Xenopus tropicalis: one gene and its partners. The protein of the gene in region 2 purifies or fractionates together with the protein of the main gene of each other region. This does not show direct contact. Links are inferred from orthologs where the notes say so. Each region holds a gene or a part of one and is shown on either strand. Other genes may lie near its edges.

Region 1 (3,500 bases), on a different chromosome or scaffold from region 2:
TTTTGAATCAACCCTGTAATGGTTTGTTGTTTCACTTGGACACATATCAACATCCTCAATTACTTATTAAAGATATTAAGCATATATTAAAGATATGTTTGAAAACTTCATAAAAATATTTCACTAGTGACTTTTTCTCTTTCAGAAACGTGCCTCTTGCTATATGCATCTCAATGGCCATTGTTACAGTTGGCTATGTCTTAACCAATGTGGCATACTACACAACAATAAGTGCAGAAGAACTAGTTCTCTCCAGTGCTGTTGCTGTGGTAAGAAAGATAAGAGTTAACTTGGTCACAGTTGCTCTTTCAATTTTTCTCTAAAATAATTTGATTTGGGAGATTGATATGGTATGCTGGGCTCAGAAATATAAGCAGTGATCACAAGAACAGTAAGGATATTATTATAAGTGTAATCTCTCAATCAGTTTAAAAGCTTAACTACCTATTTGGTCTATTGCCTTGGAAATCAGATTACATTTTTATGACATACCTTCAATTGCTTTTCAATGAATGAGTAATATTTAATATAAACCTTAATATTAAAAAAAAGTTAAATAAGTAGAGCAAGTAAAAAATGTTATCACAAAATATTTCTCTCCAACTTTAGGATAACTATACGTCTGACATGTTTCTTTTTTTAGGTTTGATTTTTTTTTTTTTTTTTTAAATCCTCTCAAAATTTTACGGTATGGAGCCATACATTTTAGTAAGGCCTGGATATTGGTGTAACCTTGAAGGAAGGCCAGCATGACTGGGGGATTGGGTAGTATGTATGATACTGGGATTAGCAGAAAAGGAGGGAAAGGGGTCTCTTAGGTTAGGTATAGTTATGGATGAAATCTTTCATCATTATCCAACTGATAAAGGTTTACCACCCGCCCTCCCTTAGGCTGGGGGAGGTGGTTTGTTATTTTAATTAATTTGTAATTTGTTACACATGTGGCCTTGAGGGCTGGGATACAGTAATCCAAAGATAGTTTTAGTTAGCTTTGGGGTGGCAGTGATAGTCCCACACCATTCACTTTAGTCACAGGTCTTTTGGAAGGTTCCCTGGCAGTCTGCTGCGTGTTGTGGTGTGGTCAGGGTATCAGTAGTTATGGGTAACCCCTATGGTGGGTGACCAGTGGTGCTCAATTGTGCTTGGGCTTCATTATGGGCTTGATACCTTGGAAATTGTCTGCTAATAGCAGTGGAGTTGATAAAGGACAGTGACATGCACCTACACTGAGCAAGGTGTAACCGGCTTGTGAATGTAGCTGGCAACTGGGAGGGCAGACCATCAGAAGGCACCCTAAAGATTCAAGGAATTATTTCTGTTGTAATGTTATATGTTATCCAGGGTATAATAATATACATCATATGTTGTTAAACCAGGTTCTATGAGACATTTGTTCCTTGCATGTCACAGGACAGGTCATGATATCATGTGCATTTTAGAATAATTTCCTTATTGGGAAAAAGGTAGAAAGAATGTATTTTCTAATGGTAGTGTTTAAAAAAAACAAACAAACATAAAACAACTTTCTTCCAACAAACTTTTGTAATATACTGTACTGCAAAGACAGTTTAGTGATTAAAAAATGCTCTTTTTAACACATATAATTATCTTCTCAAATACCATTGGGGCGTTAGACCAGACACTGTAATGCTAGTAAAATTTGACTTTTTAATTTTTCTTTGACCCTAAAATTTCCTTAAAATGTATAGTTATTCTAGTATATAAGTATTGTTGCTTTAGAAATTTTATTTATCATGTATTATTAATGATGTTTGATAATGATTCTATTTTGCAGACGTATGCTGAGCGTCTCTTTGGGAGCTTTTCCCTTGCAGTCCCAATCTTTGTCGCTTTGTCTTGCTTTGGCTCTATGAATGGTGGTGTTTTTGCAGTTTCCAGGTAACTCATTTTGCTTAGATACGGTAAAAAAAATGTTTTTGCTCCAGCTGTAGCAACTTCAAGAACTGTCAGTAGGTACCATTTACTGGTTTCTATGCACAGCTATAACGGTACGGGTGTGCTTACAAGAATACCTTGCTGGCTGTGGGCTAGAATAGGGGGCTACATTACAGTTGAACTTGTCCTTCACCCTGATATTTATGTAAATCAAGTTCTGATACCAAGTCCATGACTGAGAAGGCTCACAACATAAACACATATTCTCATTTTATTTCTTGATTAGCTGAATGTCATTATGGGGCATTGACAATGACCCATGCAGTGTGCAAAGTGCAATAAAAATCGCAAATCAACGTTTTTTGCACTTTGGCAATTGTGCAAATAGCTGCAGGCCTCTGGGCTCTATCAGCAGGTGGGGGTAGCACATAGCCTGCCCCACCCCTTAACCGCGCAGACGCCCAAGGTAAGGGTCAACAGCAAGCAGAGGCCAAATAAGGACAGTATAGCACACCCCTGGGGCTTTGGAAATGATCTCTATTAATATTCCTTGTTTTAATTTCACAAACAATGGCACAAACCTTGCATCTAACAGTAACATACTGCAAAAAAAGTTTTATAAGGATATCAGACTCTTCTGACTTACCCATAAATAACACGGGCCACACACAATAGCCAGTATAGTGCAAAAATCAATACGGGAAAAACCACTTCAGAAACAGGTTACTCACATAGATATAGGTTGCACTTCTTTAGGTTAGTACCACCTTTCAGCCTCACCCCATGCTGACTTATTTGTCAGCTCTAATAGTGTTATAATTGCCATATAAGAAACAGAAAGGGAGTGTGCACTAGTAACCAATGGTATGTATGATATAATTAGGTCATGACTAGATAAATGGGGCTGTAATTAGTAGTTTGCAGCATTTAATTAAATGAATTGCATGTGTGTGCCAGTTAAACAATGATAGATAACACTAACTCATTGGAAACACAATGTTTTTTACACCACCAGAATGTTTTATGTTGCGTCCCGAGAGGGTCACCTTCCTGAAATTCTCTCTATGATTCATGTGCGCAAACATACTCCATTGCCAGCTGTCATTGTTTTGGTAAGCCAAACATTTATTGTGAATTCATATTGTGCTCATATAGGAATCATTTCTTTTTTTGCAGGTTCTGAAGAGAGGTTCTATTTACATGGCTCATTATTTTTATTTATTTCACGTTACACCAAGATAAATAATTTTTCCAATTATCAAAATAATTTCACAGATGCTCACAGAGGAGAACAGGCTGCTCTATAATGAGGTGTTCATAATTTAATTGACTGTACATGTCCATGTCACAGCTATAATTTGAACAAAAGCATGCACATCATAGCTGAACACACAAGCGCTCACTGCTCCAATTTGAAGTGCTTTGTATCATACAGGCACATTTCTACTACAAAATCACTTTACAATAGTTGCATTTGTTTTCACTGTTCCTTATAAGACAGCAGTGTTATTTAAAAGGCAACTTTCCAAAGATGCAAAGGAGAAAGCTATTCGCGGGAGGGCACTGTACATTACACCAGATATTAGTGAAAATGATAAAACACA
Region 2 (3,950 bases):
AATCCTAAATAAAAACTTTATAAAAACTTTAATTTATAAAAAAAAATCTTGAGGCAAGAGTTTTATTAATATTTGTAACTTCCTCTTCAGGCACTCTCCTTTTCATCTTGCAGTCTGCAAATCACTGCTCGCTGCTAGTATAAGCATGACCCTAGCAACCAGATCATTTAAATCCCAAACTGTAGAGGTATGGAACAAAATGTTAAATAGTTTGCAAACCAGAAAGAATTAAAGCTTCAGTTGCAAGATGTCTGAGAACAGACTGGTGCTTTATATTGGGCCCTGTGAGGGGCTCTTTGTGCCCTGGAACTGTAGGGCCTAAGCCCAGGCATGGTGGGCAGAAATAAATTCCAGGGTAAAAAAAAAAAAAAACAAATCCACAAAGAATGAAAAGATGAAGACAAAATGTAAATTGTGTCAGAATACCACTGTAAACAAAAAGTTAATCTGATGGTGAACTACCCAATGAAGGGTGATATAACACTGGGCAAATTGTGGTAAATTGCATTCATCGTTAGGTAACAAAGTGTCCTTAAAAAATACCATTTCCACAAACAAGAATTAGCGCAGGTAAAACATATATATTGTGTAATCAGCCAAAGTGCATAAGGGGGCAATTTCATGTGGTTACGCATTTCATATCACCCATGGTGATGAAGGGTGCTCCTTGCCTCAGGAGGCTGCGCCCAGTAGGTTACCAGGGGCTTATTAAGTTTCTCTGATGCTAAAAGGGTGTGTGGGGAGGAGGTGAGGGAGGCTACATTGGGAAGGCAGCCTCAGAGTGACATTGGTCCCAAATTTGCCCCTGACAGTGATTCTTGCTGTTACCAAATGCAATTTATTTTAGGTGCTTTGTTGTCTGTGAGAGAGGCGATTTCACATGGACTATAAAGTATACAGTGTGCCATTACCCTAAGGCAGGGGGGAGCAAACTACGCCCGCGGGCCACATTCGGCCCATTGGTCTTTTTAATCCGGCCCGCTGACTCCACAAGTCTTGTCATGAGAGACTTGGTGTCAAAGGACTGACGAGCGGAAATGGCGTAACGCTGGCTCGGCCTGTCTGTAAGTCAATGTGGCCCCTGAGCCGAGAAGTTTGCCCACCCCTGCCCTAAGGGCAACGATACATGGGGAGATTTTGAAAAAAGCCTGATCATGGTGACAAATCGCCAAAGTTCCCTTTCCACAAGGTCCAAGTAGCCACTGGACTCTTTTTGAGCGAGTAGCCACTATACATGGCAACTTGTATATATGTGCGTGTAACGGGAAGTGTGGTAAAAATCATGGCAACTAATCTCTCCATGTGTCACTGCCCTTAAGGAGAACCAACCAAAAATAAGCAGGGAATGCTGGTTTGTTGTAACTGAATTCCCCAACCCAGTGATATTCTTTGAAAAAAAAATATTACCATCTAGGGTACCCTTGTGCTTCTGCACAAAATATGGTCGAACACGCTGCACGATTATACTTACCGAGAGGCGCCTAACAAATCAGCATCCCTAGGAATTCTTTTGCCTCGCCCACCTTTATGATTATTGTATTGGACATGGGGGATAGAGAGTTGTCAACCTGACATCTAGGCTTTCCAGGGGAACAGAAAATGTTCCCCCATACCTGGAAGTGACATAATGGACGTCACGCAGGCCTCTCGAAGCGACGGCATGCGCAAAATCGCTGCTGAAGCTGAAAAATTCCCCCACAGACGCACAAATGCATCAACTTACGTCACTGAACGCTTACTATACATGCATGCATCAAATTCACTTCAGGACTTCGGCAAAAATGGAAAAACACTGCTGGGGGACTGGAGAAATCGTCTGACTCCCAAAGAAGTGGTGGAGGGGGGGGCTTGACAGCTCTGGTGATAGCAGCAGATGTGTCTGTCACAGTGGTACCTCCATTCTTGGTGCATTTAATAAAAAATATATATAGATTGAGATGACAATTAACTTAATCAGCTCCAGGGAGAGAATGCATGATATCAGATCTGATATCTCCTTCCTTAAATAAACAAAGCCCTGTAAAGACGTACAGAGCAGATAGCTTTAATGCAAGCGGGCTGTGCATTTCCATATGAATCCCATGGCCCCTGTGTGTGCCCCTGTATATGGCCCCTGTGTGTGCCCCTGTATATGGCCCCTGTGTGTGCCCCTGTATATGGCCCCTGTATATGGCCCCTGTGTGTGTGCCCCTGTGTATGTCCATATGTCCCTGTGTATGGCCCCTGTGTGTGTCCCTGTATGTGTGTCCCTGTATATGGCCCCTGTGTGTGCCCCTGTGTATGGCCCCTGTGTGTGTCCCTGTATGTGTGTCCCTGTATATGGTCCCTGTATATGGTCCCTGTGTGTGCCCCTGTGTATGGCCCCTGTGTGTGTCCCTGTATATGGCCCCTGTATATGGCCCCTGTGTGTGTGCCCCTGTATGTGCCCCTGTGTATGGTCCCTGTATATGGCCCCTGTGTATGGTCCCTGTATATGGCCCCTGTGTATGGTCCCTGTATGTGTCCCTGTATATGGCCCCTGTGTGTGTCCCTGTGTATGGCCCCTGTATGTGCCCCTGTATGTGCCCCTGTGTGTGCCCCTGCAGCCTGTACCCGCACCTCTCTCCTCCCTCCCACTCCCCGTTATACTGTGAGAAGCCGATAGGAACACGCAGGTACACCCCGCAGCCACTAACTCTCTCACCGTCACAATCACTTTGCTGCTGCCGCTCAGATTCTTCCGCCGCCATATTTCCAACCGACCGCCGCCACTCCAATCACTTCCGGGAGACTACAAACCGGAAGTCCCTCCCTAATTTCATAGCACAGCGCCGGATGAGACGGTTCCTATAGTAACTGTTCGCTAGTTTATAGTAGAATAAAGCGCTCAGCCAGGCGATACTAAGCAGGCTGTATTAAGCACGAGATAGTTGAATACCTTTAGTGCTATGTATACTTCATTGGTTATATGTGGTGCTAGACTAGTCTCCTGTAATACTCACTGAGCTTTCTATGTCACCAAGTGTTCCTTACTTTAAAGGGGAACGTCAGCTTCCGAACTAAGATTTGTTAGAGAGCCCCACACAACACACAAAATATAATATACCTATTACTGTAATCTGTTTCTTCAAAAAAGTATGACTAAATGCCATTTTTATATAATGAAATCCAGCTGCAAAACAATCTTCCCTTTCTGTATCATTTGAAAATCCTGCCAGGGGAAGAGGGACTAAAACACTGATGTTACAAATTGTAACATCACCACAGCTTACACATAGCATGCAGGAAATACATAACCCACAATGCATTGCACTTATTGATGTGTGCAGGGGATTGTGGGATTTGGAGCATGCAGGCTGAAGGAGGAGGACAGTCAGTTACTGTTATATTGGTTTGAGTAGTCAGATCAGCAAGTCAACAGGGGCCAGGCTTTGTTATAAACCACAATATTACATTAAAATCCTGTAACTGGTGGGAACCCTGGCTAACATTTATCAACAACTTTCATACACAAACCCGTTGACATAAGACCCTATAGAACCACTACTCTAAAAAACTAACAAGTCCCTGATGACATGTTTTATCTTTTATTTGCTTCTATTCTTTCTCAAATGTATTTAAAATTAAAAGTAATAACTTTTGTTACTCCTGACCTCACAACCTGTTTGTAAATGCAGATCATTTCAAATGTCCTTACCCTATTCCCTTCTTTTTTTCTGTACCCCATTTTCTCTGAAAAATCAAAAATAAAGAATATATAAAAAAAAAATCCTGTAACTGGTGCACGTTTTAATTGGTGTATATTGCAAAGTTCCTTGAAATTATCTTTACTTTTCAAAAAGCTTAAGTTGTGTTTGGGTGGTTTTCCCCTTTAAAGCACAGTCAGGTTTTTCCACTGTCAGTGGACTATTTAACTGGTGAAAACTACACAGAATTAGTCAATGAACTTGTGGAGCAAAGAAGGGTTGCTA
Region 3 (3,500 bases), on a different chromosome or scaffold from region 2:
TTTTCCCATAAAAACAATCAGCGCACCAGAGGTCACCCCTATAGATTAGAGGAACAGAGCTTCCATTTGAAGCAGCGTAGGTGGTTTTTCACGGTGAGGGCAGTGAGGCTGTGGAATGCCCTTCCTAGTGATGTGGTAATGGCAGACTCTGTTAATGCCTTTAAGAGGGGCCTGGATGAGTTTTTGAACAAGCAGAATATCCAAGGCTATTGTGATACTAATATCTACAGTTAGTATTACTGGTTGTATATATATAGTTTATGTATGTGAGTGTATAGTTTGGTTAGTATAGGTTGTGTGCTGGGTTTACTCGGATGGGTTGAACTTGATGGACAATGGTCTTTTTTCAACCCTATGTAACTATGTAACTATGTAACTTAAAATTGTTGTATAATAAAGGTGAAGTCAGATCTATACATGCAAGCCTGTTCAGTATGCTTGATACTTTGTCTGAATTATCTGTGTTTGTCATCGTGTGAGCCAGATACTTAACCTTAATCTGAAACATAGCTCATTGGGCAAACTTAATATGCCAGCTGCATGCCTGTGGGTGGGGGTGTTTTGGGTTTTTTTTAGGGGTTTTGTTTGTTTTATTTTCTCTTTTTATGTGGTAGAATAGGGCCAAGAGGGCCCATTTGCTAGCACTATATAAATAACAGGAAATAAATTAGCCATACAGAAAGCAGTTTGCTCACAAGAATTCAGGGATTGTCTACATTTTGTATGAGTTTCTGAAGTGCAGTTCGTTTAGACAAGTATTAGTTATGGTGTCATTCTGTTGAGCCCAGTGGAACTCTTGGCGACTTGTGTTTTTAACTATCCTCTAATACTTGCTCCCTGTGTAACATAATGGAATTTATTTGTTCCACTTTGGTGTTGCGTTCAGATTTTCAGAACATGACTCTCTAATCCCAGCTGTTTAGCTTGGTACTATATAATTGATTATGATCATTATCCATTTTCACTACCATTTAAATGAAGTGCCTTATGACATTTCTCATCCCACCCCTCTCTGATTTCTGTTCCCCATGTTTTTGCATGTGCAGCTCTGGCTTCATAAATGTAGTTACTTGCTTAGGGTACATGTAAAAAATATCTGAGTATATTTCATACAAAACCCTAATAATTAAATCAGCAACTGTTGTGACTGGAACCTTCATTAATCTGTTGATGAATGATCTTTAATCGGCACTTGTGCTCAGTGCAGACTGTACAGAGTTTATCCAGCAGTGCAATACATACCTGAATCTAATTATTCATCTGCGCTGGGGCATACGTATTGGTAATTAATGGGCAATCAACAGATCATCCATTTAATTGGAAACCTAAAAGTGGAGGAAGAAATCATTTGAATTTCTTCCTATACTAATTTTTCAAGTGTTCCAGGTTAAGTGGATGGTTTGGCCTTTTTATTTTGTTAGATATTTTTAAGTTCTGTTTTAATTGTATGAAATAGAATGAAGCTGGAGGAATAGAAAGAGTTTCCTCTGTTTTAGGGGCTTGATTGATATTCCATCATTTTCGCCTGCTGACTACCAATTTCAGAATGCATAATTTTCATTTAGAGCGCTACTCTGTTTGGTATTGCTCACTGTTTTATGGTATCGTTGACATTAGCTTTTGAAGAGTGTAATCCTTGAGGTTTTTCCACCAGATTAGTGGACAGGAAAAACTGAAATAATTTTTTTTTTTTTTTTAATGATGGCGTAAGTAATAAGTATGAAAATGTAGATTGTAATATTTAACCCAGGGGAAATAATTTAGTAATTTGTACTTGAAATGTTGTTCATAAAAATAATTCATAGAGAATTATTGTGCCCTTAAGTTAGACTGCTTTAATAGGCAATTACTGTGGCTCACGTTAACACCAGGGAGATAGATTTTATCCCTTCATCCCATTATTTCTCATGTTTTGTTCCTTTTAAAGGTATAAGTAATGAGAGGAGGGACAGGAAAGATATCCTGTGCATTCAATATTAATAAAAAAGCTATGATGCACACTTTTTTAAATACATAAACATTATGAAAAATTAATTGATCTATTTTTCTGACTGGAAATGAGCAGTACAGTGAAACGAACATTTGTAGGGATGAAAGTCACTGTCAACTTCCCAAATGAGTACTAGAGTAGTGTTTTTATATTGCACGCAATTGGGCCCATTGCAGGGACCAAAGCATCAATCATTCTTGAAAGATGGAATACATAATTCAGGGATCCCCAACCTTTTTTTTTTTACTCATAAGCCACACTCAGATGTAAAAAGTTCACACAATTATGAAAAAAGTTCCTTGGGGGTGCCAAATAAGCACTGTGATTGGCTACTTGGTAGCCCCATGTGGCCTGCAGGAGGCTCTGCTTGCAGTAAATCCACGTGTTTGCCTTTACAAAACTTGTCTCCAAGCCAGAAATGTAAAAGTGGGCACCTACTTTGCGGCCACTGGGAGCAACAACAAAGGCGGCGCTGAGCAACATGTTGCCCCCGAGCCACTGGTTGGGGATCACTGACAGAATTCATAATTTGTTTATATTTTTGCTACTGTTTTTTTTTTTTTTATTATTATATAGTTCCATGCCTTGTGTAACTATACTAAACCCTAATACCTTTTTCCCATATGTGGCTGCAGAATTCTATGATCAATTACATTCTGGTGATATACATTTTTTCTCATTATATTTGTACAGGTATTTCTAAAAAAAAAAAATGTAAATGTGTCATCCTTGTTTGTTTTTTCTTGATGTTCTTTCTCTTTGTTTCCTTTTTATTTCCATTGAGATTAGATTAAATTCATGGAATTCCATAAAAATTCACAGAAATAGAATTCCACATTAATCAAATTTCTGTCTTTTAATGAAAGTATGGCTAAGCTAGTTATTCCAACTGAGCTAGCTAGCGTAGGTGTTTTTGTTTTTCTAAATGTTTGGCTTAAACTGGGATCTGTAATATCCATTACTCCTGCTGTTTTATTTTTTTTAACAGCGCTGGACCAAAGGGGGACAATATTTATGAATGGAGATCTACGATTCTTGGACCTCCAGGATCAGTATATGAGGGGGGTGTATTTTTCTTGGATATCACATTTTCATCTGATTATCCCTTTAAGCCACCAAAGGTAAGGGAAATATATCTGGAATGTATTGATTTACATCAGCAGGTTGGGCATTAGGTATCTAGATTGCTGTCATAGGGAATGCTTTTTTTTTTTTTTTTTTTTTTAATACTGCTGTTGGTTTTTGCAAATCAGAAATCTCCATAATACTATAATATTGATATTGTTGTTCTGGTGGGTAAAGGGGTTTTCAAGATTAGTTGTATTTTCATGTTTATTTAATAATGTTTACATTCTATTGTTATATTAAAATATTATGTTTTTGTATTTAGATCCATAATTCAGGAATATTAAGCTTATATGTGTCTCTGAAATGAAGGGGAAAAAAATCTATTTTTCTCAAACATTCAATTCCCCCAAGGAAATTGCACTAAAATGTTATGCAAAAGAAG

Evidence for each region. The genes of interacting proteins can lie anywhere in the genome.
Region 1: the proteins of otub1 (region 2) and slc7a11 purify together in Homo sapiens (affinity purification with western blotting; 5 studies listed by BioGRID, with this or other methods). This does not show direct contact. The link is inferred for Xenopus tropicalis from reciprocal best matches to the Homo sapiens genes OTUB1 and SLC7A11.
Region 3: the proteins of otub1 (region 2) and ube2e3 purify together in Homo sapiens (affinity purification with mass spectrometry; 3 studies listed by BioGRID and IntAct, counting the BioPlex papers as one, with this or other methods). This does not show direct contact. The link is inferred for Xenopus tropicalis from reciprocal best matches to the Homo sapiens genes OTUB1 and UBE2E3.

The regions. Positions count from the first base shown.
Region 1 is NC_030677.2:61,844,422-61,847,921, forward strand, and holds part of slc7a11 (cystine/glutamate transporter), read left to right. Parts: intron 1-145; coding exon 146-269; intron 270-1,795; coding exon 1,796-1,899; intron 1,900-2,911; coding exon 2,912-3,008; intron 3,009-3,500. UniProt on the Homo sapiens protein: Heterodimer with SLC3A2, that functions as an antiporter by mediating the exchange of extracellular anionic L-cystine and intracellular L-glutamate across the cellular plasma membrane.
Region 2 is NC_030680.2:36,046,273-36,050,222, forward strand, and holds the start of otub1 (ubiquitin thioesterase OTUB1), read right to left. Parts: upstream 2,801-3,950; 5' UTR 2,730-2,800; coding exon 2,684-2,729; intron 1-2,683. UniProt on the Homo sapiens protein: Hydrolase that can specifically remove 'Lys-48'-linked conjugated ubiquitin from proteins and plays an important regulatory role at the level of protein turnover by preventing degradation.
Region 3 is NC_030685.2:62,838,480-62,841,979, reverse strand, and holds part of ube2e3 (ubiquitin-conjugating enzyme E2 E3), read left to right. Parts: intron 1-2,978; coding exon 2,979-3,111; intron 3,112-3,500. UniProt on the Homo sapiens protein: Accepts ubiquitin from the E1 complex and catalyzes its covalent attachment to other proteins. In vitro catalyzes 'Lys-11'- and 'Lys-48'-, as well as 'Lys-63'-linked polyubiquitination.